2 linked regions of the Mus musculus genome follow. The protein of the gene in region 1 purifies or fractionates together with the protein of each later gene. This does not show direct contact. Links are inferred from orthologs where the notes say so. Each region holds a gene or a part of one and is shown in the gene's direction. Other genes may lie near its edges.

Evidence for each region.
Region 2: the proteins of Polr2d (region 1) and Med26 purify together in Homo sapiens (affinity purification with mass spectrometry; 3 studies listed by BioGRID and IntAct, with this or other methods). This does not show direct contact. The link is inferred for Mus musculus from reciprocal best matches to the Homo sapiens genes POLR2D and MED26.

What each region holds. Positions count from the first base shown.
Region 1 is NC_000084.6:31,789,422-31,804,073, forward strand, and holds the end of Polr2d (DNA-directed RNA polymerase II subunit RPB4), read left to right. Parts: intron 1-2,418; coding exon 2,419-2,599; intron 2,600-5,866; coding exon 5,867-5,962; intron 5,963-6,628; coding exon 6,629-6,707; 3' UTR 6,708-7,288; downstream 7,289-14,652. UniProt on the Homo sapiens protein: Core component of RNA polymerase II (Pol II), a DNA-dependent RNA polymerase which synthesizes mRNA precursors and many functional non-coding RNAs using the four ribonucleoside triphosphates as substrates.
Region 2 is NC_000074.6:72,538,298-72,554,501, reverse strand, and holds the start of Med26 (mediator of RNA polymerase II transcription subunit 26), read left to right. Parts: upstream 1-6,191; 5' UTR 6,192-6,535; coding exon 6,536-6,607; intron 6,608-8,287; exon of another isoform or gene 8,288-8,426; intron 8,427-16,204. UniProt on the Homo sapiens protein: Component of the Mediator complex, a coactivator involved in the regulated transcription of nearly all RNA polymerase II-dependent genes.

The sequences.
Region 1 (14,652 bases):
GTTTGGTTAATTCCACTACACCCAGCAGTTTTTTTGTTTGTTTGTTTGTTTGTTTTGTTTTTTTGCGGGTGTCTTATTAGGTATCCTAGGCTAGTCTCCACCGTATCACATTCCTGCCCCATCCTCTTAGAGCTTTAAAATGAAAGGCATGAACCATCACTCTTGATTTTTAGGGGGATTTAAGTTATGTCCTTTGCCTGTCATTCAAAAGACAGATCTGGAGCAGAGGTCTCATTTCCAAATTGGCAGCTAATAGAGGCTGAGTTGTGGTCCTCTCACAGTGCTGGTCAAAGCATTTCAAGAGCTGTGGCTCAGAAGTGGACCCTGCCCTGGCCTCTTTGGAGAAATGCTGTTGCTATTGCCGTTGGTTTCTGGACCCTCGTAGCTTTTCAAGTTAGGAAGAACGGATGGAAGCAAGATGGGTTCCCGTTTGGGATGTCTGGTACCTCCTTTTGCTGGATGTGTGCCAGCCTCTGGGCGTAGTGCTCTCTGTACCTGCTACTTGGAGCCTTCGGTAGGAGAATAAGTTTGACCCCAAAAGTTCAAGGCTAGTTTGGGTATTACAGTAAGACCCCCAAGATTCATGCTGTGCTGTTGTGAGTTTTGTTTTGAGACAGGGTCTCAAGTAGCCCGGACTGGCCTGGAACTAGATAGGAAGGCACCTTGGACTTCGCTTTCTCTACTGCCACAGAGCTAGGTTTACAGAGATGAACCACTCTGGCTTAGAGGCTGTTTTAAGGGTTGTAGCATTTGGTTGAGAATCACTGGTTTAGAGGGAAGAAAGGAAGGTGGAGTTGACGTAAGCATAGTCTCAGAAATGAAAGAGATAAGCCAGGTGGTGGTGGCCTTTAATTCCAGGGCTCTGGAGTCAGAGGCAGGCTGATCTCCATGAGTTTGAGGCCAACCTGGAATTAAAAAAAATCACAACAAACCTGGCGGTGGTGGCACATCCCTTTCATCCCAGCACCTGGGGCAGTTGCCAGGTGGATCTCTTTGAGTTCAAGGCCAGCATGGTCTACAGGAGTTCCAGGATAGCCAGAACTCCACAGAGAAACCCTATCTCAAAAAAAGCCAAAAACAAACAAAGAAAACTAATTGTGGGCATGAGCATGTGTGTGTAAGACCCAAGGTATCACAGTCCCTAGCGCCACGGTTATGGGCAGTTGTGAGCTATTTGAATTGGATGCAGGGAACTGAATTTGGGTTTTTGCCCTCTCAATTACAGTCGTTGTCGTCATCAGTGTCTCTCCCCACCCCTTCATTCTTTGAGACAGTCTCATGTAGCACTGGCTAGCCTCTTTCTCTGCCCCCAAGTTAAGGGATTACAGGCATATGCCCAATGTATGTGGTGCTGTGGATGGAATTTGTTGCTTTGTGCATACTGGGGAAACATTCTACCTACTAGCTACATTGCCAGCCCAGCTAGTGACATTTACTTATTTGTGTGTGTTTATTGTGTGGTGTGTGTGGGCATATGTTCTTGTGTAGGTGCTTATAGGGGTGTAGAGTTGGTGTTGAGTAACTTCCTTGATTCTTTTGCACTTACTGAGGCAAAACCTCTTGCTGAACCCAGAGTTCATCAGTTTGCCTAGTCTACCTAGTTTACCTTGCCCCAGGAAACCAATCCCCTGTCTCCTCCTACCAACTGCTGGATTATAGGAGCCCTCTATACGTATTGTATGGGTTCTGAGGACCCTAACTCTGCATCTCACACTGAAGTGGCAAGTACTTGATCCGTTTTATCACCTGCTCAGCCCCAGAAAGTGATGCTATCGTTTGCCTTTTGTGTCTTTTTTTTAATTGAGATGGAGAATCTCTTGTTTTAAAATTTTTATATGTACAGATTATTTTGCTTCCATGTATGTCTGCATGCATGTGTAGTGCCCATAGAAGCCATAAGTATATGTTGAATCCCCTGGAACTAATGATGGTGAACCACCTTGTTGGTGCTGGGAACAGAGCCCTTATCCTCTGGAAGATTAACCAATGTTGCTAGGGGCTGAGCTGTCTCTCTAGCCCTACATTACTGTTTTAAAATTAATTTTTTTTTAAATTGTCTGTGCAGGCACCTGAAGAGGCTAGCAGTACTGTGAGGTATCTGATGTGGGTGCTGGGAATTGCTTTCTAAGAGTAGTACATGCTCGTGTCTCCAGTCTTCTGGCTGTCCTGGAACTCACTTTGTAGACCAGGCTGGCCTTGAACTCAGAAATCCGCCTGCCTCTGCCTCCCAAGTGCTGGGATCAAAGGCATGCGCCACCACGCTTGGCTGGTGTTTGTTTTTTAATTTATATTTCTGGCCGTTCTGCAGCTCACTAATAATAGACCAGGCTGGCCTCAAAGACAGAGATCATCCTGGCTCTGCCTCCCAGATGCTGAGACTTTTAGGAGAGTATTTTCAGTTCACACTTCCTCTTGCAGAGTTTGAGACAGCGGAGACTCTGCTGAACTCGGAAGTCCACATGCTTCTGGAGCATCGAAAGCAGCAGAACGAGAGCGCGGAGGACGAGCAGGAGCTGTCGGAGGTCTTCATGAAAACCCTCAACTACACGGCCCGCTTCAGCCGGTTCAAAAACAGAGAGACCATTGCCAGTGTGCGCAGGTGAGTACTAAACAGACGTTCAAAACCAAAATCTACTTATGGATTGTGGGTGTTTTAGATGCTTGTATGTCTGTGCATCATGTGTGTACAATCCCCACAGAGGCCAGAACAGGGTGTGAGGTCCCCAGAACTGGAGTTACAGGCAGTTGTGAGGCACTGCGTAGGTGCTGGGACTCAGAACCCAGGTCCTCTCCGGCCCTACAAAACAGTTTTATTATTATAGACTCTCGTGAAAGATAGAGGCTGTAGGATCCAGGAGTCCAAGGTCATCCTTAGCTACATAGTAGGTTCAAAACCAGCCTTGACTACATGGTGCTCTGTTTTTAAAAATGCTGTTTTAAAACAAAATAGGGGCCAATGAAATGGCTCAATAAGTAAAACATGCTTTAGCCAGGAGGTGGTGGTACACTCCTTTAATCCAGCACTCAGGAGGCAGAGGCAAGCATATCTCTGAGTTTGATGCCCGCCTAGCCTATAGAACAAGTTCCAGGACAGTCAGGGCTACACAGATAAACTCTGTCTAGAAACAAATGCAAACAAACAGTGCTTTCTGTGTGTAAGCCTTATGACCCGAGCTTATAGAGAAACCCAGATGCACCCAGCAGCTCTGAGAATGAATTCCCAAAAGTTGCCTTCTAAGCGTGCATGCTTACACACATACACATACAAACACACAAATGGCTAAATAAACCACACACAAATACTGAAAAACACTCTAACTGGGTGGGGTACTGCATGCCTTTAATCCCAGAATTTGGTTGACAGACAGGAGAGTTTCTGTTTCAGTCCAGCCTGCTTTACATAGCAAGTTCCGGGACTACATAGATAGAACCTGTTATTTATTTATTTATTTATTTATTTTTGGTTTTTTTGAGACAGGATTTCTCTGTGTAGCCCTGGCTGTCCTGGAACTCACTTTGTAGACCAGGCTGGCCTCGAGCTCAGAAATCCGCCTGCCTCTGCCTTCACCACCGGGCTTGTTTTTATTTATTTATTTATTTATTTATTTTTTTGTTTTTGTTTTTTTTTAAAAAGTTGGGATGGCTCAGAGGTTAACAGCACTGTCTGCTCTTCCAGAGGTCCTGAGTTCAAATCCCAGCAACCACATGGTGGCTCACAACCATCTCTATTGAGATTACAGATGCCCTCTACGGGTGTGTCTGAGGACAGCTACAGTGTACTTATATATAATAAATAAATAAGTCTTAAAAAAAAGTAATCTGGAGCTTGAAGCCCGCCTTCCCCCCCAAAAAAATTTTTTTTGCCTATAACAAAAAAGGCTCTTAGCCTTGATTCAAAGTCAAATTTTTCTCCTTTGCATCACAACTTCTGGGGTCACTAGTATATGCCATCATGCACTCTCTACCCAGGTAGAATTTTTTTGTACCTATTTTTATTTTATATATATTGAGCAGTGTCTCACTAGCCCTGGCTGATCTAGAACTCTATATTAGACCAGGTTGTTTTCTGTCTCACAGAGAACCACCTCCTTTGAGATTAAAGGTGTCCAGCACCACACGTTTGTTTGTTTGTTTTTCTGTTTGTTTATTTTAGAAAAAATTATATTATCATCATTATTTTGTTTTTAAATATTTATTATTTTATGTATATGGGTACACTGTAGCTGAACAGATGGTTGTGAGCCATCATGTGGTTGTTGGGTACTGAATTTTTAGGACCTCTGCTTGCTCTGGTCAACCCCGCCCTCTCTGGTTGGCCCCGCTCACTTCGATCAACTCCACTTGCTCAGTCCTTGCTTGCTCTGGCCCAAAGATTTATTTATTATTATACATAAGTACACTGTAGCTGTTTTCAGATGCACTGGAAGAGGGCATCAGATCTCATTATGGATGGTTGTGGGACACTTTGTGGATTTGAATTCAGGGCCTTCGGAAGAGCAGTCAGTGCTCTTACCTGCTGAGCCATCTCACCAGCCTTATTATTATTATTAATCATTATTTATTATTATTATTACTATTACTACTTCTACTACTGAGACAGATTTGTATCTCTGTAGACCAGGCTGCCGTGAGCGTGTGCCATCAGGCACAGCAATTCTTTTTTTTTTTGTTTTCTTTTTTTAGTTTTTGGGGTTTTTTGGTTTTTTTTCAAGACAGGGTTTCTCTGTGTAGCCCTGGCTGTCCTGGAACTCACTCTGTAGACCAGGCTGGCCTTGAACTCAGAAATACACCTGCCTCTGCCTCCTAAGTGCTGGGATCAAAGGTGTGCGCCACCACGCCTGGCTAGCAATTCATTTTTTTTATGTTGTTTATATGTATATAGATGCTTTTCTATATGTGCACCATGTATATTCAATGCCAGCACTAGCAGAGGCCAGAGAGGAGTTGTAGACGTGTGGAGCCACCCAGTGTAGATGCTAGGAACCTCACTTGGGTCCTCTGAACATTAGCAGATGCTTTTCCTGCTGAGCCATCTCGCCAGTCCTCTAGAGTATATAAGTTTTTACTACATACATTTTGAAACCAAACTTATTCTAGTAAGCTTTATTAAATTATTCAATTTTTATTTTATGTGTACGAGTGTTTTACCTCTGTACCACACAAGTGCCCAGTATCACGGAGTCCAGAGTGAGTCCTTTGGATCTGGAATTTCAAACTGTTGTGAGCCATCGTGTGGGTACTGTGAACTCAACCTGTGACCTCTAAAAAGAGCATCACTTAACTCCCGAGTTCCCTCTCCAATGCAGCGTGTATATGCCGCCTTACCCTGCTGGGCTCTTTTCAGGGTTCTTGGCTCTGCCTGCTGTTTTTCATTTGTTTTTTTGTTTTTGTTTTTGTTTTGTTTTTTGTTTTTTTCTGGAACTTGTTGATTTTCTGGGGTAGGAACAGGAAGTGACTTCAAAGGAGGATTCTGATGCCCACATAACCATAATCAAATATTACAATCTCCTTTTTGCTATTGATGAATGATTAGCATTTGACCGACACTGAATGAGAACATAATTTTTTTTGTTTTTTGAGACAGGGTTTCTCTGCGTAGCCCTGGCCGTCCTGGAACTCACTTTGTAGACCAGGCTGGCCTCAAACTGAGAAATCCACCTGCCTCTGCCTCCCAAGTGCTGGGATTAAAGGCGTGCAATACCACGCCCGGCCTAATTTTTGTTTTTTATTAGCATATAACTACACATAGTAATGGGTCCCACTGTGACATTTTTATTCAAGTATATATTTTGATCATACTTATTTCCCCCCATTACTGCTCACTTCATCACAGTCTTTCTGTGTTTTTATTTTCCGCTACAATCAGCTTGCTTCTCCAGAAAAAGTTACATAAGTTTGAGTTGGCCTGTTTAGCCAATCTTTGCCCGGAGACTGCTGAAGAGTCCAAAGCTCTGATTCCAAGGTTAGTACCGGATGGGATAGATTTCTGTCTATTTTCTATAGATTTCTATAAGTCAAATTGCTAGAACTAAAAGTTGTATGCATTTAATATTTGGGTTAATGACATGGCAGCATTGAATAGGAATGTAGTTGAATGGTGTTTGAGATAGGATTTGGGGATTGGTTTTGTGGTTTGTTGGTGGTAGTCTCAGGTAACCAAGGCTTTCCTTGAACATCTTGATTGTCTTGCTTTCACCTGTCAAGGGCTGGGATTACAGGTGTAAATGGTCATGCTGGCTTAAGAATAGTTTGAGTTGCTGGGCAGTGGTGGCGCACGCCTTTAATCCCAGCACTCGGGAGGCAGAGGCAGGCGGATTTCTGAGTTTGAGGCCAGCCTGGTCTACAGAGTGAGTTCCAGGACAGCCAGCCAGGCTACACAGAGAAACCCTGTCTCGAAAAAAACAAAACAAAACAAAATTAAATTTACATCATGTGTGACTGTTGAAGCTTTTAAAAATCTTTTTTCTATTTACAACTTTTTAGTGCTTATATAAAGGAATGTCAAAAACCATTCAGTTTAAACTTCGAGGCAGTAGAGCTAAGCGAGCTGCTCGGAGATGAGCCTCCTTTGACAGACTGGGGAAACCTCCAGCGGCCAAGTCACTTACATTTCTTGGTTTTCTTACAGCCTGGAAGGGCGTTTTGAAGATGAGGAGCTGCAGCAGATTCTCGATGACATCCAGACGAAGCGCAGCTTCCAGTACTGATCCGCAGACGTCACTCTGCTCCTTGAGTTACAGCACCACGGTCTGAAGCCTGGGGAGGCCTCATGCAGGAACATTGCTTCAGAAGACGCTGGAGCTTCTTTCGTAGTTTTTGCTTCACTGCGAGAGAGTGTCTCTCCAGTTCTCAAAGTCATAACAGTCCTCCTGCCTCAGCCTCGCAGGTGCTGGGATTACAGGTGTGAGCCAACACTTTCAGCTTGGCTTCTGGAGAGGAAAGAAAGGCTGGCTATTGATGCTGTAGGTGCTATCTTCACAGTGACTGTTAGACCATAACTACCATCTGCGCTCCTTGCAGCCTTTTAAGGCTGCTGTGGTCAGGCAGGCTGCCATCCTGAACTGCTGAGGTAGAATGATGTTCAAACATTCGTTGACTACTTCGTACCGTGGTTTTTTTGGACCCCATGTTACTATTTTTTTGTTCTTGACACTTCAGATTTTAATGTCAATTATTTTGTAGTTTTTGAAGCTAAAATGATATATAAAAAACTTGCATAGGAGAGGAGTGTTTTCACTTGGTTGTAAAGGGGAGAAATAAACCAGAACACTGTTTTTTTTTAAAAGAATTGTATTTATTTGTTAATGGGGAGAGGGTACATGATCCATGGCACATGTGTGGGGGGCAGGAGTCAGTTCTGTCCAAAGTCTTGTACATACTAGAAAAGTGCTGTACCATTGAGCAACACTCTAGCCCAGAAGTTGCTTTTGTTTGTTTGTGTGTTGTACATATGTATGTGCAAGTGTGTGCATCTATGTAAGGAGACTAGCAGAGGACATTGGGTGTATACCCATATTTCTGTCCTTTGAAATGGGCTCTGTCTCACTGAACCTATATCTAGGCTGGATGACCAAAAGCCCCAACAATCCTGTCTTCACTTTCTCTTTTTGCTTGTACCTTGGGGTTCAAGGCATGTACAGTGGGAACACAGCAGTCTTTTCACTAACGGTAGTGCTAATGGACAGACTCAGGTCTTCATGCATAGCACATACCCTTATTCACTGAGCCAGTCCCCAGCCACCCTGCAATGTTTAAAGAGTGAGAGACAGTTGACTAAAAGAACTTTGCCACCACTCTGCCTGCCCTGGACACAGGATGGAAACTCACCATGGGGAGCACCGTCTAGGGTCCTTAGCCTTGTGGTAGACATACTTCATCTTAAGGGAAAGGAGGCTGTCTTGGAGAATGTATTTGAAGTGGCCTTAAAGAGTTCATATTGTCACCTTCAAATTAAGATAGGTCAGATTGGAAGACCTAAACACTAAAGACTCCTCATAAGGTAGATACCTAATCCAAACCTCTGATCCAATACTGAGTGACACGTATTCTGTTACCGAGGTGATATGGAAGGAGCGAGTGACTGTGCTCCTGTCTCAGTGCTAGAAATCAGGACCTCTGTGTCTTCTCATCTTAAATCCCAGCCTGTGGAGTTTGAAGTCAGCCTGCCAGGGCAGCCAAACATTCATACATACATACATACATATATACATACATACATACATACATAAGTCAGCCTGCCAGGGCAGCCATACATACATACATACATACATACATACATACATACATGCATACATACAAGGTTGAACTTCTACCTGACCCTACCAAACATTCCTCTCCCCCATCCTCCACCTCCTTTCTGGAGGGAAAGTAAGGGGAAATAGTAGAAAAAAATGCTTGAAAGGAGACAGCTCAAGAGTCGTGTGAGGGATTAACATTAAGGGATGCTAGCAGGCTGGATCTCAGGAAGTCCTGTCTCGGATCACGGGCTACTGTGATTCAAGATGGTGGTGCTTGTAGCCAGCTTGGAGGAAACAGCTACATGGCAGGAGAAAATGAAATAGACAAGCTAGGTGTTTCCGATTAATGATGGGGAGGGAGGAAGAGTTGAAATTGCCTAGTCAGACTGCTCTCTGGAGGCTGGAGGAGGGGATGAGGAGGCAGAAGACCCTGCTTCCCAAAAATGAAGATGTGATGGGCCCTAGGCAGGAGTGGCTACAGAGGAGATTCTGGGTCAGCATGGAACTATGGAGAGAGGAGCTGGAAGACGCCGTGAAGGGACAACCAGGGAGCTGAGCTGCAGAGAGCTTGTCTGTGCTTAGAAGAATGAAGCAAACACAGAAGGTCACTTTCGAAGTGCTGAGAAGAAATGGGGTCCAGTGGCTACTGGGAAGGCCAGCAGGGGCAGGGAAGAATGCAAGGGAGGTGCAGAGGGTGCCTGCATGTAGACAATTGATAGATTGAGCCCTTGTTAAACAAGTGTCACAAGGTCCCTTTATGTATCCGAGACACTTACTGGGCTATCCAGCCAAAGAATATATTTAGCTGGAATTAAGGGCATGAGCCACAACACCTGCCTGCGGGGTTTGGTTTGGTTTGGTTTGGTTTTGAGACAAGGCCTGTAATTAATAGTAATCTGCTTGCTTCCTGAGTGTTGGAATTATAAGAGAACATACCTGGCCAATCATTTCATAATCTTTATGGTGCTGATGCAATAATACAATCATTACCAGAAAGAGCTGTGATAGGAGAGATTATGAAATAGTCTTTCCCCTCTTTTTAAAAAGCATGGTCTCTGCTGGCCCTCTTTCTGACCCTCCTCCAACTTTAGACTCCTGAGATTATGCCACCATTCCTGGTTTTGGTTGGATACTGAAGATTGAAGCCAGTGCCTCTTGTGTGCTAGATAAATGTTCTGCCAGCTGAGCTACAGCCCCAGTCATGAAATAGCCATTTGTAAAGCTGTAATCTCAGTACTTGGGATGTAGGCACAAAATCAGGAGCTCAGCCATCCTCGGCTACATAGCAAATTAAAGGCAAGCCTGGGCTATGTGAGATCCTGTCTCAAATAAAAAACTGACCCCGGTGGGCGGGTAGCCTAGAAAACTATAGTGCTATGTATCTGAACCCGTAGTATGAGATGTCTAATAGAGGTAGCACTTGGAGAGCAGACGCAGGTGAATTTCTGAGAGTTCCAGGTGAGCCAGGGCTACAAAGTGAGACCCTGCCTTAAAAAGTATCCTCCTCTAAAAATAGAACAAAGTGGGGTGTACTGGCTAGTTTTGTGTCAACTTGACACAGGCTGGAGTTATCACAGAGAAAGGAGCTTCATTTGGGGAAATGTCTCCGTGAGATCCAGCTGCAAGGCATTTTCTCAAATAGTGATCAAGGGAGGAGGTCCCCTTGTGGGTGGCGCCATCTCTGGGTTGGTAGTCTTGGTTCTATAAGAGAGCAGGCTGAGCAAGCCAGGGGAAGCAAGCCAGTAAGTAACATCCCTCCATGGCCTCTGCATCAGCTCCTGCTTCCTGACCTGCTTGAGTTCCAGTCCTGACATCCTTTGGTGATTAACAGCAGTGTGGAAAGTGTAAACTGAATAAACCCTTTCCTCCCCAACTTGCTTCTTGGTGATGATGTTTTGTCCAGGAATAGAAACCCTGACTAAGACAGGGGTTAATGATTAGGATCTGGAATATGAGTGCTATAAGGATCCTGTGTCAGGCTTGGTTCCCATGTAGCAGTACAACCTGCCCAGAAGGGCTGGGCCCTTCCCTGTCAATCATTAATCATGAAAAGACCTCTACAGATTTGCCTGCAAGCCAATCTGATGGAGGCATTTTTTCCAGTGTTCCTTCTTCCTAGATGACTAATTTGTGTGAAGTTGACAAATTACCCCTTGTCTATTAGACATAAACTAATAACCTGAGTTGGAGAGATGGCTCAAGAATTAATACCAGCTGCTGCTTCCAGAGGATCTGGGTTTTTGATTCCCAGCACCCCACTCATGGCTAAACCATTTTAAACTCCAGTTTCAGGGGTCTCACACCCCTTCTGGTGTCTGTGGGCACTGCGTGCAAGTGGCACACAGACTTATGCAGGTAGAATACCCACATATAAAACAAAAATTCTTAAAGCCTTTAAAATTCCAGATTTTGGGATCCAGTGGCAAACTCACAGATCTCTGAGTTTGAGGCCAGGCTGTTCTACATAGTGAGTTCCAGGACAGCCAGGAATACATAGACCCTGTCTCAAAAAAACAAAACCAATACCTTAAAAATCGAATAGCTGAGCCGGGCGTGGTGGCGCACGCCTTTAATCCCAGCACTCGGGAGGCAGAGGCAGGTGGATTTCTGAGTCCAGCCTGGTCTACAAAGTGAGTTCCAGGACAGCCAGGGCTATAGAGAAACCCTGTCTTGAAAAACCAAAAAAAAAAAAAAAAAAAATCGAATAGCTGCTCATTTGTTATCCCAAGTGTCATGATCATATCACAATATAAATACAGTTCACTGTTGGGCATGGTGATGCATGCCTATAATCCCAGCTCTTGGGAGGCAGAGGCAGGCATATCTCTGTGAGTTCAAGGCCTGCCTGGACAAGGAAGCTCCAGGGCAGATAGGGCTCCAATAGGGTTTTGTCTGAAACAAACCATCCCCTTCCAAACCAGATAATAATAAAAAACAATAAGCCAAACCAAAGAAAAGTCGCTCAGTGGGGGCTGTAGAGAAGACTCACTAAAAGCACTCTTTGTTCATACAGAGAAGAGCGGGGTTAGAGAAATGGTACGGTGGGTGGCTAAGAGCGCTTGCTTGCTGTTCTTGTAAGTGCTGGGCCTGTATTAAATTCTCAGCACCTACATGGCAGTTCAGAGTACCTATAACTTAAGGTCCAGGGAATCTGGTGCTCTCTTCTGCTGCTCCTCAGACACCAGGCATGCCAGTGCTGTACATAAATTCATGCAGGTAAAACAGTTATACACATAAAAACTTATTTCTGGGCTGGTGAGATGGCTCAGTGGGTAAGAGCACCCGACTGCTCTTCCGAAGGTCAGGAGTTCAAATCCCAGCAACCACATGGTGGCTCACAACCATCCATAACGAGATCTGACTCCCTCTTCTGGAGTGTCTGAGGACAGCTACAGTGTACTTACATATAATAAAACAAAAAACAAAAAACTTATTTTGTGCTGGAGAGATAGCTCAGCTGTTAAGAGCACCAACTGCCCTACTGAAGGTCCCGAGTTCAATTCCTGGCAGCCAAACGGTGGCTCTCAGCCGTTTGGTGTGCTCATCTGGTGTGTGTCTGAAGATGACTACAGTGCACTCAAATGTGTAAAATAAAAACTTATTTCAAGAGGTAGGAACGGCACAGTTAAAATCCCCTTCCTGGGACTCACGCCCAGTCTGGATTGCAAAGGCCCGGCGAAGCTCCAACTCTACCTATACCTAAAGGTTACACCTCTACTAATTGCATCTCAGCCTCTTCAGGGACTGACCCTGCCACATGCACCAAGCCTCAACTTCTTTCCCTGAGCTCGTCAATACTCGTGGCTCCACTGTAACTGGCGAGGCTGCACCCTCACCAGTGGACTCCTGCCTTCTGCAAGGACTTCAGCCTTGCTATATGATACTAAGTCTTTCGTGCTCTTCGTTAGCCCTTCAAGCCTTCAAAAACAGTAGCAGGTGGAGATGCTTACATATTACTGAGTTCAGCTGCTAGTTTCAGGGGTGCCATGACATACGTGTGTGTATACATATACAAATATCATTTTAAAATATAACAATAAAGGGCTGGGGAGATGGCTCAGTAGCTAAGAATGCATACTATTCTTGTATGAGTTCAGTTCCAAGGACCCATGTTGGGTGCCCTGTAACCTCCTGTAACTCCAGTTCCCGGGGATTTGACACTTGAGGCTTCCAAAGACACTTGCATTCATGTGTATGGGCATTCATACAGACACTCACATATATAATGAAAATCATAATCTTTTGAGAATTTAAAAAATTAGGGCCCAGCATAGTGATATAATCCTTTAATTCTATCACTTTGAAACCAGATCTTTTTTGAGTTTGAAGCCAGCCTTGTCTACAAAGAGTTCCAGGACAGCTAGGGCTACACAGAGAAACCCTATCTCAAAACACCAAACAAACAAACAAACAAAAACGTTTAAAAATTAAATAAATATGCTAAGGTATTTTGTCTTGGGGACAGAAAGGTGACCTCAGTAGTGAACTAACTCTCAGTAAGATTTAACTTCTTTAAACACCTTGGGGCGTGCAGGGGTGCAGCAACAGCTGCCATCAGGCAGACAGCAAGAGCCTGTGCACAGGTCTGCCTGGGTCACTTTTGCCTGTATATGTCCGTCCACAGGCAAAAGCCTGTTGGCTTCTGATTACTCCTTTTCACACATCTGCCAACTGAGGATCGTAGGCAGTCCTTGGAAACCAGATCCAGGACCCGAGGGAGCACCTAGCCTTGTAGCTAAGGATAGCCCCCAACTGCCTATGTAGCCAAAGACTGCCTCAAACTTGATTCTTCCTGCCTCTCTGCACCCCAAGTGCTGGTATTGGCATGTCCCACCATGCCTGGTTCATGTGGTGTGGGAGAAGGTGAAGTCATGAGTGCATGTGTGTGTGTTGTTGGCAAACACAGCTATGTCCGGGACTCCGATATCTCAGACCCATGGTGTCTTAGTGAGGGTTTCTATTGCTGTGGTAAAATGCCATACCCAAAAGCAACTTGAGGAGGAAAGCTCTCAGATACTTCCAGATTACAGTCCCTCACACCCTGCGGGAAGTCCAAGAAAGAATGAAAGACAGCAAGACTGATGCAGAAGCCATGGAGGAGTGGCTCTTTGCTCTCCATAGCTTGCTCAGCCCGTTTTCTTTTAGCTGGCCACAATGAGCCGGGCCCTCCCACATCAATCATCAATTAAGGAAGTGTACCACCAGCTTGCTCATAGACCAATCTGGAGGGAGCATTTTCTCAGCCGAGGCTCTGTCTTCCCAAATAATTCTAGCTCGGCATGTCATCTACCCAACACAAGACTGAAAAGGACAAGTAGGGGAGGATAGGAAGCAATTCCATCATTTAAATAAAAACGACTGACTAGTGCAAACTCTGTAGAGCTTTGTGGTGCTTGTGTGTGTGTGTGTAGAGGCTAAGAGGTAAAAGGTGTCGTCCTCAATCATTTTCCTATATATATTTTTCACACACAAAACCATTTAAGGTTGGGTATAGTAGAACATGCCTTTAATTCCAGCATTTGGGAGGCAGAGGCAAGTGGCTCTCTGAGTTTGAGGCCCACCTTGTTTCTTCTTTTTTTTTTTTTTTTCCTTTTGGTTTTTTGAGACAGGGTTTCTCTGTGTAGCCCTGGTTGTCCTGGAACTCACGCTGTAGACCAGGCTGGATTGGATTATGTATTGAAGGATGCCTTTGGACTTCTGTCCCTCCTGTCGTCACTTCATAGGCTTTGAAACCAAGTTTACGCAGTGCTAGAGAGAAGAGAAAACTCTGGGTTTCCTACATGCAAACGCTTGACCAATCGGTACATTTGTTGGGAGAATTTGTCTATCTTTCTCACCATGTAGGGCTGGGGATCAAGCTAAGATAATCAGGCTATAGTGCTGGCTTCTTTATCACAGGCTTATGCTCTGGTTTTTCGACCTTGAACTCATGGTAATCCTCCTGTCTCTGCCTCCCCCCAACCCCCCCCCCCCACCCCCGCGACGGGGTTTCTCTGTGCAGCCCTGGCTGTCCTGGAACCCACTCTGTAGACCAGGCTAGCCTCCAACTCAGAAATCTCCCTGCCTCTGCCTCTGCCTCTGCCTCTGAAGCGCTGGGATTAAAGGCGTGCGCCACCACTGCCGGGCTGTGTCTCAGCCTCTTAAGTGCTCGGATTACAAGCATGAGCCACTACAGCTGGCTTTAACAAGTATCTTATTTAGTTTTGTGAAATGGGATGTTCTGAGAATATGCAGGATGCCTCATGGGGTGAGGAATGAAAGGCGAAAGGTTCCAGCACTGTGATACCTCCATCAGCCGCCAAGATGAACTCAAATCTTTGGGCGCCGTATCCAAGCCCCACCCCTCACCTGCGCGCATGCTCTATTCGAGCCCTACGGTAGACCTGCGGCACAGGCGCGCGGGGCGTAGCGCCGT
Region 2 (16,204 bases), on another chromosome or scaffold:
TTTGGGAATGTTTAGAGGGTGTGGCCTCATTGGAGGAAGTAGCATCTGAGACAAAAACTCTTCCTTCCAGAAGTCACTTTTAGTCTTGGTGGAATTTTTTTGTTTTTTTTTTTTTGTTGTTTTTGTTTTGTTTTGGGTTTTTTTGTTGTTGTTGTTGTTTGGTCTAGTCTATTGAGACAGGGTTTCTCCATGTAGTCTTAGTTGTGATGGCTATTCTTGGTTGTCAACATGACATCAGAAATGGAAGGCACACCTATGAAAGATATTCTGCTTGGTTTAAAGTAGATGAATCCACTTCTAGTCTGGACCTTTGAAGGGAGAAGACACACCTTTAACATGGGCTATACCTTCTGCTGGAAGCTCATATAGGGACACAGAAGGAAGCTTTTGCTCTTTGCCTGCTTGCTCTTGCCTTATTAGCGCATCAATTCCTTTACTAACATTGAAGCCTACTTCTCCATGATTCCAGCAGATACAGAAGACCAGATGAAATATCCGGCCGTGTGGGACTGTATAACAACTTGATTCTTAGACTTTCCATCCACAGCTAGCTACTGTTGGACTAGCTAGAATGCAGACTCTAAGTCATTCCAATAAATTCCCTTTATATATGTATTCATTCCATAAGCCCTGTGACCCTAGAGAACCCAGTTCCAGCTGTCTTGCAACTTGCTCTGTAGACCAGGCTGGCCTTGAACTCATTAGTCTGCTTGCCTACTGAGTGTTGTGATTAACATCATGTGCCACACACCACATGGCTTAGTCATGTTGTTTTATCATAGCAACAGAAAAGTAACTAGGAGGTTGGTGGTGGCAGTGCATGCTTTTAATCCCAGTACTTGAGAGGGAGGCAGAGGCAGGCAGCTCTCTGAGATCTCTGAGTTTGAGGCCAGCCTGGTCTATAGAACAAATTCCAGGACAGTCATGGCTACAAAGAGAAACCCTGTCTTGAAAAAACAAAACAACCACAAAAAAGAAGTTGGTATTATAGAGTGGGCTGTAGCTCTAACAGACTTAACCATGTTTTTTGGAAGGACATGGAAGACTTAGGAATTTTGGACTAAAGATAGCAGTTGACCCCTGTAAGAAAGTATACAGATCATCTTAGTCGCAGTAGGAGCCTGGAAGACAGTCATCCTGAGAGCGAGCAATGTGGACTGTAAAGGCCCAGCTCAAGAGGTTTCAGAGGGAACAGCATTAGTAACTGGGCAGGAGCCGTCCCTGAACTGTTTTGGCAGAGGATGTGGTAGCCTTCTGCCTTGTCTGGAGAACTTGCCTGAGATTAAATTTAAAAGCAGTGGTCTTATTTCTTTGGTGGAAGGAATTCCAAACATATGTTGAGTCTGTGGTTATGGTTGCCAATGCTTATGCAAATGCTTATGAAAAGGGGCAATGGGGCAGAACGAAACATGACAGGTATATACTGAATTGTGGGAAAATACCCTGGAGGCTTAGTATTACACTTGAGATCAGCATCAGTAAAGACAGGCTTGCTCTGCCTAAGGGAACAAAGAGAATGATGCCCTCAGAGCAGGACTCCACCCAGCTAAGCTTTCTTTCTGCAAGGCAAAGGTAGCCTATGGCAGGGGAATCCCAGTTGGAAGTCCTTAAGAAGCCACTGTGTGAAGCTGTGAAAGTGAAGTCTGGGGTTGCACTGAAAACCCCAAGATATTGGAGATGCCAGATTCATGAGTTGTCTGGCAAGGAGTGTGCACACAGGAAGTGGAACCATCCTGACAGAGAGATGTGTTGCAGGCAGCAAGGCTGGACACAGAGCCATCTCAGCCCTCTGACATCAGACACAGAGCTACATACAGGCTTTAGAGTTCGCCCTGGTAGCTTTTGGTCTTTTAGTAATTTTTCACCAAGCACCCAATCCTCCTTTTGGAAAGGTAATATGTATTCTGTGCCATTGTATGTAACAATTGTATAATTTGCCTTTTGATTTTGCAGGAGATTACAATTAAGAAATTGTTTTGAGTCTTAGAAGCATCTATGGGCTTTTAAGCAGTGTTGAGACTGTGAAAGACTAGGGGAACTTTTGATCTGAAATATTTTGCAGTTTGGTAAGGCTATGAGTCTATGTAGTCAAATGGAATGTGGTGATTTGAATGACAATGGCTTCCTAAAAGATGTTTGAGCATTGGTCCCTGATCCTGATGCTGTTTGGGTAGGCTAAGGAGGCTGTCTTTGTGGAAGACTATGTCACCACTTCCTGCTGATTAGGGGCAAGTTTGATCTTCACGGTCAGGATATCTAATTTCTTCTTCTTTACATACAACTACTTAACAAACCACAACCAACAGCAACCAAAAAGCACCAACCTACCAACCAACAACCTACCCTTCTTGGGGTCCTAGCATTTATACACCCTCTGAAAAGCCCCCAGAATTCAAAATACCACACAAACGCAGAAACCATCTGTAGCTGGCAAATCATGCTTCTTCTAGAGAGTGAGGCAAATCAGACTTAGCTGCTGTGGACAATCTGAAACACAACACCTGACGCATAATCTGAAGCAATCCCACACCTCTGATTAAAACGAAAGCATCTTCTTACAGTATTTACGTGGTTTTTGTTGGGGTTTTTTTGTTTGTTTTTGGTTTTTCGAGACAGGGTTTCTCTGTATAGCCCTGGCTGTCCTGAAAATCACTTTGTAGACCAGGCTAGCCTCGAACTCAGAAATCCACCTGCCTCTGCCTCCCAAGTGCTGGGATTAAAGGCATGAGCCACCACGCCCGGCTCTTGCCTCCATTTTCTGACTGTTGGAATCATAGGAGTGAGTTACCAGATCCAGCTAGTGTCACTTTTTTTTTTTAAAGATTTATTTATTTTGTGTATGTGAGTACACTGTTGCTGTCTTCAGACACACCAGAAGAGGGCATCAGATAGTTGTGAGCCAACATGTGGTTGCTGGGAATTGAACTCAGGACCTCTGGAAGAGCAGTCAGTGCTCTTAACTACTGAGACATCTTTCCAGCCCCTGGTGTCACTTTTAAACAGGACTACACTTGGGTCTCACGCAGGAAGATTAGAAGTTCAAGCCTAGCCTGGGATACAGAGGGAGACCCCGTCTCAAAAAAGGAAAAACCAGAGTGGCCAGATTGCTTAGCAGGTATAGCCACTAACCCAGCCAAGCCTAAGATGATCCCCAGGATGGTAGAAGAGAACTAACTCTTGGCAGTGGTCCTCTGTACAACACAAACAGTTATATATATATATATATATATACACACACACACACACACAAACAATCAAACTTAGGTAAATGAACAAGTAGAATAAAGTTGTGTGCATAGGACTCCACAATATTGTAGTCATGCACTCTGAAGGCAGAGGAAGGTGGATCTCTATGAGTTTGAGGTCGGCCTGGTCTATAAAATGAGTTTCAGGTCAGCCAGCCAGAACTACACAAAGAAACCCTTTTTTTTTTTAAATTAATTTATTTATTATATGTAAGTACACTGTAGCTGTCTTCAGACACTCCAGAAGAGGGAGTCAGATCTCATTACGAATGATTGTGAACCACCATGTGGTTGCTGGGATTTGAACTCTGGACCTTTGGAAGAGCAGTCAGGTGCTCTTACCCACTGAGCCATCTCACCAGCCCAAGAAACCCTTTCTTGAAAAAACAAAACAAGAAAATGGGTTGGAGAGATGGCTCAGCCATTATGAATGCTTGCTGCTCGTCCAGAGTTCAATTCCCCATACCTATATGATGACCTTGAACTCAAGAGATCCTCCTGTTTCTACCTCTTTGAGTGCTGAGATTAAAGGCTAGGCATAGAAAATGCAATCAGAAGCACCAGGTATGATGGTGGGTGGTACATGCCCTATAATTCTAGCGCTTGAGGAGGTGGAGGCAACATGAAGAGCTCAAGGCCAGGCCTGTGAGACAATGCAGCAGTTAAGAGCACTGTTCTCAAAGAAGGACCAGGATTCAATTCGCAGTATGTACTCACAACTCCATGTAATTCTAGTTCTAGGGATCTGACAACTACTTCTGGCCTCTGTAGACACCAGGCACATATAGGTGCATATATACTACAGGCAAAACATTAATATCAAATTTAGAGACAGGGTCTCTCTACATATGGCTGTCTATCCTGGAACTCACTATGTAAACTAGACTGGATTCACGGAGATCCTCCTGCCTCCCCTTGAGTACCACCATACCAGGCAAATAAAATAAAAAATAAAGAAAAGAAAAAGGTTCAAGGCCAGCCTAGGCTACATGTGGTCTCAAAACCTGGGGAGGAATCTAAAATAGCAAGGTCAGCAGGTACATTGAATGCTGTCCAAGATGTTTTCATGACTTGATCCATGCAAAACTAATTGCCTGCTTAATTTATAGCTTGTTTTGAAAAAAAAAAAAAAGGCATACTATACCACTGAATAAACAAGATAGCAGGTCTGCAGGGTAGGATGATGCACTTAATTCCAGCTCTTGGGCAGCAGAACTCAGGCGGATATCTGTGAGTTTGAGGCTAGCCTGGTCTCCACAGTGAGTTTCAAACTAGTCAGAATTGCATAGTGAGATCCAGGCCAGCCAGGGCTTTGTAGTGAGAGCCTGTATAAGGGGAGAAAAATAAAAATCAACTATTAGATAATAATAAAAGACAGAAGATTGGCATAAATGTAATGCACCAGGAGACACTGGAAGGAATAAAATGTTTGAGACCAGCTCAGGCTTCATAAACTCTGCCAAAAAACACCAAACTAAGAGCCAATGTTGATGGAGGACCTTGTTTATTTTGCTTATCTGGTGAGATTAAGTGTATCTTCAAAATGGGCTGCTTTCCAACTTGGAACCTGAGCTCCAAACACATGCCAGGAAGAGAGTGTATTTGAGAAGTATTTGTTCGTGTTCATTCTATTGGTGTAATGCAAAGCCTTCTGTCATGTGCAGAATCAAGAAACCAGCCATGATAAATTTATTTTCTGGGTGGGTGGGAGAAAAGGGCAGGGTCTTACTTACGTAGTCCTTGCTAATCTGGAACTCACTGTGCAGACCAAGCTGGCCTGGAACTCCAGTGAGCCTCCTGCCTCCCAAGCGTTGGAATTAAATGCCTGGTTCCTCACCTCCCCCAGTACCCCCCCCCCGAAGTATGACAAATTTAAAATTAACAGGTGTTGAGCAGCTCTCAGAAGTACATGTGGTTTTCATTACCTGTTTCCCTTCCGTTTCATGTCTGGATTTTTAAGGTTACAACACTACACGAAGTTATTTCTCCCGAGGCCACTTTCGTATAGTGCACTAAACTCGGAGCCCGCCCTCCATCTGTCCAGTTGTAGGGGTCACCGAAGGACGGAGGACCGCAGCCTTTATACTTGACTTCCTTCGTTTCTTGGTTTGACTTAAAACTCCAGGTGACCTTGGTGCTTCCCTTCCTCCCCCGTGAGGCGTTCCTGTTTTCCATCACCTGAGATGCAAAGGCGGGGTCGCTCCGTCCCCTCGGAACGCCAAGGGGAAGATGCTGGGCGACGGTTCCGCATCCTGCTGTTCAGACACAGGCTGGCCACCTCCAGCCCCCCCCGCCCCCCCCCCGCCTCTAGGAAGGCGACAAAAGCGGTGCTTCCTCTTGAGTTCCAGCCCCGCACGGATGCAGACCCGAGGTGTCAGCGTCGCGCAGGCCTTGCAGACTTGCGTCCTCTGCAGAGGTGGCAGCTCCCAGACGTGACCTTAGGTCCCCGCAGCACGCGGGTCACATGGGGACACGCACTGCCCTGCAGACCCGCGCCTGGGGCCTCTGCAGCGGAGAAGGCTGTGCGGAGCTCCTCCGAGCTCCTCGAGGCACGAGTCTAAACGCAGGGAACCGCTGCCTTCCTCAGATTACCTATGGCCGCTCCAATCCTCTGGTTTCTAAACGCAGGAGGCCCTCATCCGGGGGAGGGTCTTTCCATTCCGCAACCCCAAAGCAGTCAGAAGATAGAGTCGGTGTTCCAGGACTTGAAGGGTGCGCTTCCGTTAGGAAGCCCATCCCTCCAGTCCCGAGTGGGCGTGGCCTTCAGATAGCGTCCGTTGCCACGCCCAACTGCCTCCCAACGGCCCTCTGTGTCGGACCTCGGAACCAGGCGGCAGGACCTGCTAATTGCGCCTGCGCGCGCGTGCGCACAATCAATAGGAGGGGCTCACGAGCCGGACCCTCCCAAACCCGGCGTCTCCACCCGCCCCATCTCCCAACCTCCTCAGCGTGGCGCCGACGCTGCGTGCGGCGCGGGTTACCCAGAGTGCTCAGCGCGGGGGGCAGCTCACTGGAGTTTGGTTCTCGAGGCGGCGGCGGCGGTGGTGGCGGAGGCTCCTCCGTCGGCTCCTCCTCCTCGCTCGGCGGTGGCGGCGGTGGTCCGGGGCCTGAGCTCCGGTCCCCTCCGCTTCCCTCCGTCCTCGCCATCTCCCCGAGCGCCTTGACCTCCTCCGGCGCCGCGGGGAACATGCGGCTCCGTTCCCGGAGGCCGGCGAGTGACTGACCCGCGTTCCCCCTCCTCAGCCTGCCCGCCCGCCGGCCCGGCCGCTCCCCCCCGCTTCGCCCAGGCAATGACAGCGGCTCCGGCGTCTCCGCAGCAGATGAGGGACCGGCTGCTACAGGCCATCGACTCCCAGAGCAACGTAAGTGACTGCCTCGCGATCGGGGACCGAGGCCGCATGTGTCGAGACCCTCCCCCTCCGACGCGCCCCCGGCTAGGGGCTCTCTCCAGGCGGTGATCTGCCCGCCACAGCCACTGCCATCTCGGTCTCTCTTTCTCCTGGGTCCGGGGACCGCAGGCAAGGCGGATTGCCCGGCAGCTGAGGGTACCTGAGGCCGAGGCTTCACGCGGCCTGGACTGAGGGAGCGTTTGGAGCTTTGATCAGAGCTAGTTCTTCTCCGTTGTCCCAGCCCGACCGCCCTTGGTGGTCCCCACCGTGCCTCCTTGCCTCACCTCAACCCTGGGAACTGAGAACCCCCCGGGAAGGTCTCCCTGCCGGGGGCAAGGTGGGAAGCAACTAGTGTCTCCGCGATGACTAGAGTAGCCCGCGTCTCCGGAGTCTTGGCCTTTACTCCCCTTCGGTCTCCTGGCTGAACCTCCTTCTTGGCTAGGAGGGAACCCTAGGCCCGTTCTGCCCCCAGTCTGTCTACCTGTGATGCCTGGAGAGTCTCCTCTTTTTTCTGATAGTGGACAAACCTTTCCTGGGGTCTTTCTAGAAAAGACGACCCTGCAGAGAGTGGGATCCTTCCTGTCATCTTTCTTGGCCTAAATGCTCCATTGCGCATCTGACCAGAAGCTAAAGCATGGGATTTTGGTACTGAGTTACTGCCCGTCATAGTTGATTGTTCTCTTATTCCTACCTTCCGGTCCTCTTTCCATCTCTCTCTTGCCCCTCCTGAGGTGCTTTGGGCCCTAGCCTGTCAAGATTTAATTGTAAGGGGTTACTTTATGTCACACTTTCCTCTGCTAAGAGTCCTGTGAGCAGAGGGACATCTTTTTCTTCCTGTGTGAGCATAGACTAATTTCACCTGTTCTTGTATTTTTCCCAAAGGTTTGTTGGCAGTGTAGGGGGCGGGTATCCTTGTTGCTGTTAGGAGCAGGGCCATGGGAAGATGCACAGGCATTCAGATATGAGGTGTTTGCTGGGAGACCAGGAAGTGGCCTTTGAGATCACTTTTTAATATGCTCGGGATGGAAGAAAAATCATCTTGGGCTTGGACAGGTAACCGAGGTTTGAGTCTTTTGAGTTCCCTTGACTATGCTTGACCAGTTACTCTTAGCAATGTACAATGTACACTGTATTGTGGTGTGTTCAGAATAATTCACATTGTTTGTGTGGTCTTGGTAGAAATAGAGGTGCTCTAGTTTCTATGAGATCTGCTTGCTGGATCCAAAATTATTTTCTTCTTGGTCTTTAAGATCACCTTGATAGTAATTTAGTAAATACTGTAGACATTTTCTCGAGGTAGAATAGGGACAGGCTAGATAAAAATCTTCTAGAAAGCCTTTTTAAATTTTTTTCTTTTTTCTTTTTTTGGTTTAAGGTTTTGTTGGGTTTTTTGTTGTTGTTTTGTTTGCCAGTGATTGGTATTACTGACTGTAATCACATGATTGATATATTAGGATATTAAAAGGTAAAAACAAGAGATAGGAAAACATAGCCTTGATGGCTTTTGCATCTTTGCTGAAGCCATAGTGTACACAGTATAATTTTTTGATGTTGTTTTTCAAGAAGGATTCCTCTTCTATGTAGCTTTGACTATCCTTGAACTTGCTCTTTAGACTAGGTTGGCCTCAGAGATTCTCCTGCCTCTTCTTCCAGATTAAACGATTGCACCACCACTGCTCATCTCTTCCACAGTGGAAATTTTAACTCCTGTGTAACTCCTTTGCTTGAGATCTTATCAGAGATCCTGACTGCTTGTATGTGAGAGTGTTGGGACCAGCAAGCGCTTTGACAGGTAATCATGATGCTATAGATCAGGTGGGTCCAAGTGTTAGGTAAGGTCTGACTAGAAGACCCTTTGTGGGTAAAAGAAGGAAGGTAGACAGCCCAAATTTTAGGTTTTTGTTTTGTTTTTTTCTGAGACAGTCACTGGAAGTCACTATGTATGTAAACCAGTGTAGTCTCACAGAGAATCTGTCTGCTTCTACCTCCCAAATGCTGGAATTAAAGGTATATGCCACCATGCCTGGCCCAAACATTAGTTTCTTGAATTTTCCCTTGGTCATAAGTATTACTATGCTCTTTGGCCTGTGGGTAAGTTGCTTGGAGTGTATATCTCAAAGGGAGACCTTATTGTGGTGGATGGAGTTGAGAACTTGTCTCTGAGTGAGGAGGGAAGTGTTTCCCAAAATGCACTGTCAGTGACCACCCACAAAAACAACTAGGTATATGTGCCAGGGGCTGGCTTTGCAGAATCTCTTTGTAGAATCAGCCTGGAGCACTGTCCTCCATTTCTTGCTGTGGTATTGAAGGGTCCCTGGACATTTGCACTGTTTCCGTGATTGCTCAGGGCCCAGGTAAGAGCTGCATGTTTGTGCAGGGATCTGTGCTTTGCTCTGCCCAGTTATAAGCTCCACCACTTGCTAATTGACACATATTTAGGATGTTCATGGAAAAAATACAAAACGAGGACAGAGTTGAAGAGTGAACACTAAAATTAACCCTCTTCAGAGAGAAGTGACAGAGAATGGTGTCATGTAATGCTTACCTTTATGAGTGTGCAATTATGGCTAACAAATTTAGCTGTTGGCTTAAAAAAAAAATCAGTGCCAGGTAGCTGACCTAAAGTCCACAGCCTCTGACTGACCAGCTCCTTGACCAAGGAGGTCTCAGTAAGATAGCCATCCCTGCTCTAGCCTCAGCAGCAGCAAGCACTGACCTGCCAGGCCTGTACTTCAGAAAGTCCCCATCTCCCTTCCAAAAGGCAGCTAATAGACTTCCAGAACTGTGGAAGCTTCACTCACCTCAATGTGTGTTTGCTTAGGGTGTTGACAGTCTCTGACGTATACTGTACATCTGCTTGTAGTCGTATGAATAAAGGTGAAGGGTATGACTTACACTTGCACAGAAATCATACTGAGTTCCCCTTTAGCCAGTGATAGAGTTTTTAGTCCTGTGGTGCCCTTGCTGTTTGAAGAAAGTCTGGACCATGTTTTCCTGAGAGATCAGCTTCTCATACATGTTCCATGTCTTGACCTCTTTCCTAGAGAAGAGTCCTCCCTTTTTGCATTTTGTTTCAACTCTTGGGCCTGTGATTCAGGAGTTGCCTCCACGCCCCCATTTTCTCAAGAAGCCCTGTGCTCCAGTCCTGAAGGCCAGCTGTGGAATGGCCTAATGGGAGCATTGGTGACTGAGAAAATCACAGGTGGCTTGAGATGTGTCTGTGGGGAATGTGAATGTAACCTTAAAGTTAACAGATTTCATTTTTCAAAAAAGTGGAAAGACTATACACAGTCCCATGAAAAGCTAAATAGTGAAGTGGTGGTCCAAGATGGAGTTTGCCAAAGGCAGCTTTGTAGCCCTGGTTGCAAAGCAGTGGGAGGACGGAAGAAGGCTTGGTGAAGGAGGACTCAACCACTGCTGGACTCTGGAGCAGATCTCAGGAGCTGCTGTCTTCCTCTCACTCTTCCAGAAGCAGGCACCATGGCCATCATTTCCTACTTGGAATCACTTGCCTCTGCTGGCTTGCAAGTTCCTTGCAGCAAAGGAAGTGGTGGCCCGTCCTGGAAGCATACCTTCCAGACCCGGATTCAGACCCGGATTCAGACCCGGATTCAGACCTGGAAGTGCTGCAGTGGCCTACACGAACTGTTCTGGAAGGGCTTCTTCTATTTACTTGCTTCAGGAATTCATGCAGGGTGGATTGTGTGAACTTTTTCAGCTATCTACACCCCTGGTTAATAAGGAGAGATGTACAACCCTAATTAATTTTTGAGGTACCCTGACAGTGTGTTCTGTTCTTCCCAGTAGCCCCATAAAGGAAGGTGGGATGAAGCTAGCCCCCTTTATGCAGACAGCATAATGCTAGTGGTGTCAGCTGTGGCTAGGCTAGGACATAATGCTAGTGGTTTCAGCCTTGTGGAAGGGTGTCATGAGCTGATACACACTCTACCTGAGTAGGGAAGGCTTGGCCTGCTAGTCCTATGTGATCAGAACTGGGTGAGAGTTACCTGTTAGCATTGCAGGGGCTCTGTCTCTGTGACAATGGGTGTGGAACTTTGCCTGTGTCTTGTGTTCCAGCTTTGCTTTCTGCTGAAAGGTGACAGCTCTTTTAACACTAACTTAAAATGCCACTGATCCTGTCAGAAAGAGGATACATGTTAGCACTGCTAGGTCCTGTACAGTGATGTCCCTGTTGTTCTCTGCTGTGACCACAGTTCAGGAGAAGAGCAGAGTGGCAGTTCTAACTTGGGAGTCAGGTTTTGTTTGATGTTTTGTCTCCCTGAGGAAGGTAGACTTTGTCTTCGGTGAATTTTTAGATGGTCCTCAAAGCTGGGGGTTTGTTCTTGAGACCTGGAGAACCGTCCCAACACTAGTCTGTAGGAGGGGACTTTTGTCCTGGACATAAATCTAAAAGAGGCTTGTAGTAAGTAGCCTTTATCCTAGCACTCAGGAGGCAGAAGCAGGTGGATTGCTTGAGTTCCAGGACAGCCAAGGCTATGTAGAGACCCTGTTACTGGTCAGATGGAGCATGTATTATCCCTTGATTAATGATGTTTCTGGTTGTGGCAGACAGACATCTCAAGGTGCCAGGATCAGAGCTGGATGAAGGGGTATCCTACTCCTGCAATCCTCAGTAGTACTTGAACCCAAACTGACCCCAGCCTGAGTTTGCTGGAAGGCTTTCTGCTTCTCATGACAGACTCCTTCTGAAGCCGCTTCTGAGGGCTGCTCCTTTTCATTTCCTGGGAGTGTGCTGTCCTGAGCCTGGCTCTGTAGTTGGTTGTGAGAATGGGCAGCTGAGTTTGAGGTTCATTAAGCAGCAAGCAGGCAGTGTGTTCTCTGGTGGCCTTGCTAAGTCTGCACTCCTTTCATTCTCAGGGCACAAGTATTCCCTAGTGTAGGGTCTTATGAAGTGGGGCTCATTTCCTGAATGAAGTGAACCTGTGCTGTCTAAGCTTCCTTCCAGTCTCAGGTCTGAGAGCCCATGCAGTTGCATCTTCATGAGTTGTGGTAAAACTTTATGAGTTGTGGCTGAGTAGTTGACTAGCCATTTCTCTGTAGTGCTGATAGTACTTGGGGTGGTAGGCAGACTTGTGCACCCAGTACCTGCCTTTGAAGATGTGTGGCCGCCAAGGAGGCCAGAATGCTGTGTTGTATGTGAATGTCAGAGGTGTAGTCTGGCCTTTCAGCTGCAACTCTTGAGCCCAAATAGGACACTTTGCCTTTGAAAGGAGGATTCTTTTAAAAGTGTGTGTATGTTTGTACATGCTTATGTGCCTGATGGTAGAAAACTGCAAGTGATGGCATAACTGTGAAGATCAGAGGACAATTTTGTGGAGTTCGTTTTCTCCCTTAATGTTTATGTGGTTCCAGAGGATCAAATTCGGATTGCTAGGCTTGTATCACAGTGCTCTACTCACTGTGCCATCTTTCCAAACAAAGAATTCTTTTTAAAAAAAAAAGAATTTTTTTAAAGTCGTGTGTGTGTGTGTGTGTGTGTGTGTGTGTGTGTGTGTGTGTTTGCCACATGTGTGCAGGTGCCTGGGGAGCCAGAACACCAGAACAGGGCAACAGGTATCTTAGAGTGGTATCCTGATGCTGGTACTGGGAATCAAATTTGGGTCCTCTTTGAGAGCTGTAAGCTCTCTTATCTGCTGAGCCATCTCCCCAGCCTCCAAACATTTTTTTTCAAAGATTAATTTATTTTATGTATATAAATGTTCTATCTGCATGCCAAAGAGGGCATCAGATCACATTATAGATGGTTGTGAACCACCATGTGGTTGCTAGGAATTGAACTCTGGACCTCAGGAAGAGCAGCTAGTGCTCTTAACCTCTGAGTCATCTTTCTAGCCGCCCCCTCCCAAATCCCAAAATTTTTTTTTGAGACAGTTTCTTTCTCTATGTAGCCCTGGCTATTCTGGAACTCACAGAGTTCCAGATCTGTCTCTGCCTTCTGAGTGCTGAGATTAAAGGAGTGCACCACTAATCACCTGGCTAGACTTTTTCTTTTATTAAAAAAGTATATTTTAAAAGATGACTTTATATGGATGAGTATTTTGCCTGCGTATGTGTTTGTGCATCATACATGTGCTTATAGAGGGTTGTGGCCCACCATGTGGGTTCTAGGAACTAAACTTAGGTCCTGTGTAAGGACCACGAGAGCTCTTAACCTTGGAGCCATCTCTCTAGTCCAAGTTTGAATTCTGTTTTGTTCTGTGTACTGGATAGTTTTGTGTCAACTTGACACAGCTGGAGTTATCACAGAGAAAGGAGCTTCAGTTGGGGAAATGCCTCCATGAGATCCAACTGTAAGGCATTTTCTCAATTAGTGATCAAGGGGGAAAGGCCCCTTGTGGGTGGGACCATCTCTGGGCTGGTAGTCTTGGGTTCTATAAGAGAGCAGGCTGAGCAAGCCAGGAGAAGCAAGCCAGTAAAGAATATCCCTCCGTGGCCTCTGCATCAGCTCCTGCTTCCTGACCTGCTTGAGTTCCAGTCCTGACTTCTTTCAGTGATGAACAGCAATGTGGAAATGTAAGCTGAATAAACCCTTTCCTCTCCAACTTGCTTCTTGGTCATGATGTTTGTGCAGGAATAGAAACCCTGACAAAGACATTCTGTTTTGTTTTGTTGGTTTGTTGTTTTCAAGACAGGGTTTCTCTGTGTAGCCCTGGCACTCCTGGAACTCACTCTGTAGACCAGGCTGGCCTCGAACTCAGAAATCCGCCTGCCTCTGCCTCCCAAGTGCTGAAATTAAAGGTGGGCATCACCACTGCCTGGTTTTTGTTTTGTTTTGGTTTTTGGTTTTTGGTTTTTTGAGACAGGGTTTCTCTGTATAGCCCTGGCTGTCCTGGAACTCAATTTGTAGACTAGGCTGGCCTCAAACTCAGAAATCCACCTGCCTCTGCCTCTCGAGTGTTGGGATTAAAGGTATACGCCGCCACACCTGGTTTGTTTTTTTGTTTGTTTGTTTGTTTTGTTTTGTTTTGTTTTTTTTGAGACAGGGTCTCTGTATAGTCCTGAACACTTGCTCTGTAGATCAGGCTGGCTTTGAAGCTCACAGTGATCTACCCGCCTCTGCCTCTGAAGTGTTCAAATTAAGTGTGTGTGCCACCATCATCTGGTCCAAGATAGAATTCTTGAGAGCATGAAATGGCTCTCTGGAATACTCTGTCATCTGGAAGTTTGGAATTAAATGCTTTATAGAAAGTGCAGGTGGTTAGCTCTTGTTTGTTTCTGCTGCGAGGGGAACAGACTTGAAAGGAATAGTTGGGTTGGTTAGTCACTGAACAGTTTATCTCATGGACTCCAAGATTGGTCTCTGTACATTTCAAGCTCTTGGAGAGAGCTCCTGGAGAGCTTTGATATGGTTAAGGTTAATATTGCATTTTTCTTTCTTTCTTTCTTTCTTTCTTTCTTTCTTTCTTTCTTTCTTTCTTTCTTTCTTTTGTTGTTGTTGTTGTTGTTGTTGTTGTTGTTGTTGGCATCTTGCTTTTCTGTCTGGGCTAGCCTGGAACTGCTGCCTCAGCCTTCCAGGCAGCTGGTTTGATAGGTGAGTACTGTATCTGAAATGGTGTGGTACTGTGTGGATATAGATGAAGGGCAGGAATCCTGGAAGAAAGCCCTACTCTTCTTAGGTTGTAAGTCTTGGGTTGTCAGCTGCCCATATTCCTTGGTTCTCTATGGATTGTTGAAGAAAGGGTCACTTCAGGTGAGGTGATGTACCCTCTGGGGATGCAGGCTTGCCAGGCAGCTGTGGTTCCAGCTTCTGAGTTGCTGGAGCTTCAGCATTTTCCTAGATCCAACCACTAGAGCCTGTGAGCCCAGGGAAGCCCAGGGCCATCAAAGTTCTGGTGGACCTTGGTGGAGTGTGCCTTTAATCCCAGTGCTTGAGAGGCAGGGATAGACCAACCTCTGAGTTCCAGGCCATCTTTGTCTACATAGTGAATTCCAGGCCAACCAGGGTTATACTCAAACATAGTCTCAAAATAAATATATTTTTAAAAATTATTTCTCTCGAGCTCAGGTAGGTGTAATGTCTTGTGTTGGCAGCAGCAGTTAACCGGTCAGTACCACTAGATGAGCACACTGGCTTCCATGCACATCAATTAGCATTTGCTTGCTCTTTCAGTCTGAAGGTTGACATTTGTCTTCAACTAAGGGGCCAGGAAAGACTAAGCAATCTGTGGGTCTTAAACCAGTGCTAGGTGTCCCCAAAGCAAGTGGGCTCAGTGCTGCCCAGCCCACTTTCCTACTGCAGTACTTCTGAGAGCTGAGGTCTATTTCAAAGGCTCCATCTTAGAGATCTGAAGTGTTTAGTTTGCAATTCTGTTCACTTCCCTCTTCATGCAACTTTCCCCTTTTGCTTGAAAAAAAATATTAAGAGAAATTTCTTATGTGTCAGAGTGGTGTATGCCACATTGGTGCAAGTGCCTGAGGAGGCCAGAAGAGGGCATCAGATCCCCTGGAGTTGGAGCTGTAAGGTGATGTGAGCTGTGGTGGAGCAGGACTTGAGTCCCTGGAGCTTCTGGCATCTCTCCCCTTCACTTTAACTCTGAGTTCCAAACTGTTTTAGATGCAAGAACCCAGTTTTCATTTTAGCTTTCCAGTCTTCCCTTGGTGTATTTTTTTTTTTTTTTTTTTTTTTTTTTTTTTTTTTGGTTTTTCGAGACAGGGTTTCTCTGTAGTCCTGGCTGTCCTGGAACTCACTTTGTAGACCAGGCTGGCCTCGAACTCAGAAATCCGCCTGTCTCTGCCTCCCAAGTGCTGGGATTAAAGGCGTGCGCCACCACCGCCCGGCGCCTTGGTGTATTTTTAAGTGTAGCTGGGTTTTTCATTTTTTTTTAAAGTTCTTAAGTTTGGGTGTGGCTCTTGTTTTCAGCTGAGAATCTTCTTAGATGAGAAAGCTGGTCTCACCTGTATGTGATACCTGGGAATCAACTTTGGTACTCCCTCTGGTGAGGAGCCCCATTTATCCCCATAGCCTATTCTCCCTTTTTTGAAAAATTTCCTTGTGAAATCCTTATGGCTTGTGTAACATCTTTTAAAATCCTGCTAAGATCATAGCATGTTTCCATTGTTGGCTTTTGTATTTCCTTATTTTATTTGTTTATTTATTTGTTTGTTTATTGGCAAGGTCTCACTGTAGCTCTGGTTGTCCTGGAACTCATTATATAGACTAGGCTGCATCCATTGTGCTTGGATTAAGGTGTGGACCAGTATGCCAACTGCTTGCTTGCGTGTGCTCGCTCTCTCACAAGCGCTCTCTCTCTCTCTCTCTCTCTCTCTCTCACACACACACACACACACACACACACACACACGGATACAAGAGGGTTACAGGCAGTTGTGACTCATCTGACATGGGTGCTGGTCTCTAACTTAGAACGCTAGAAGAGCAGCAAGTGTTCCTAACCACTGAGCCTCTCTGTTCCTGCTGGTTGGTGTATTTTGGCTAGCCTTGACTGTCTAAGCTCAATTGATCCTCCTTAGCCTTCTAACTTTCTGTAACTAGTGGCATCACACACACCTTTGACTAAGGGTCTTGTTTTCTGCCTTTCTATCCGTTTA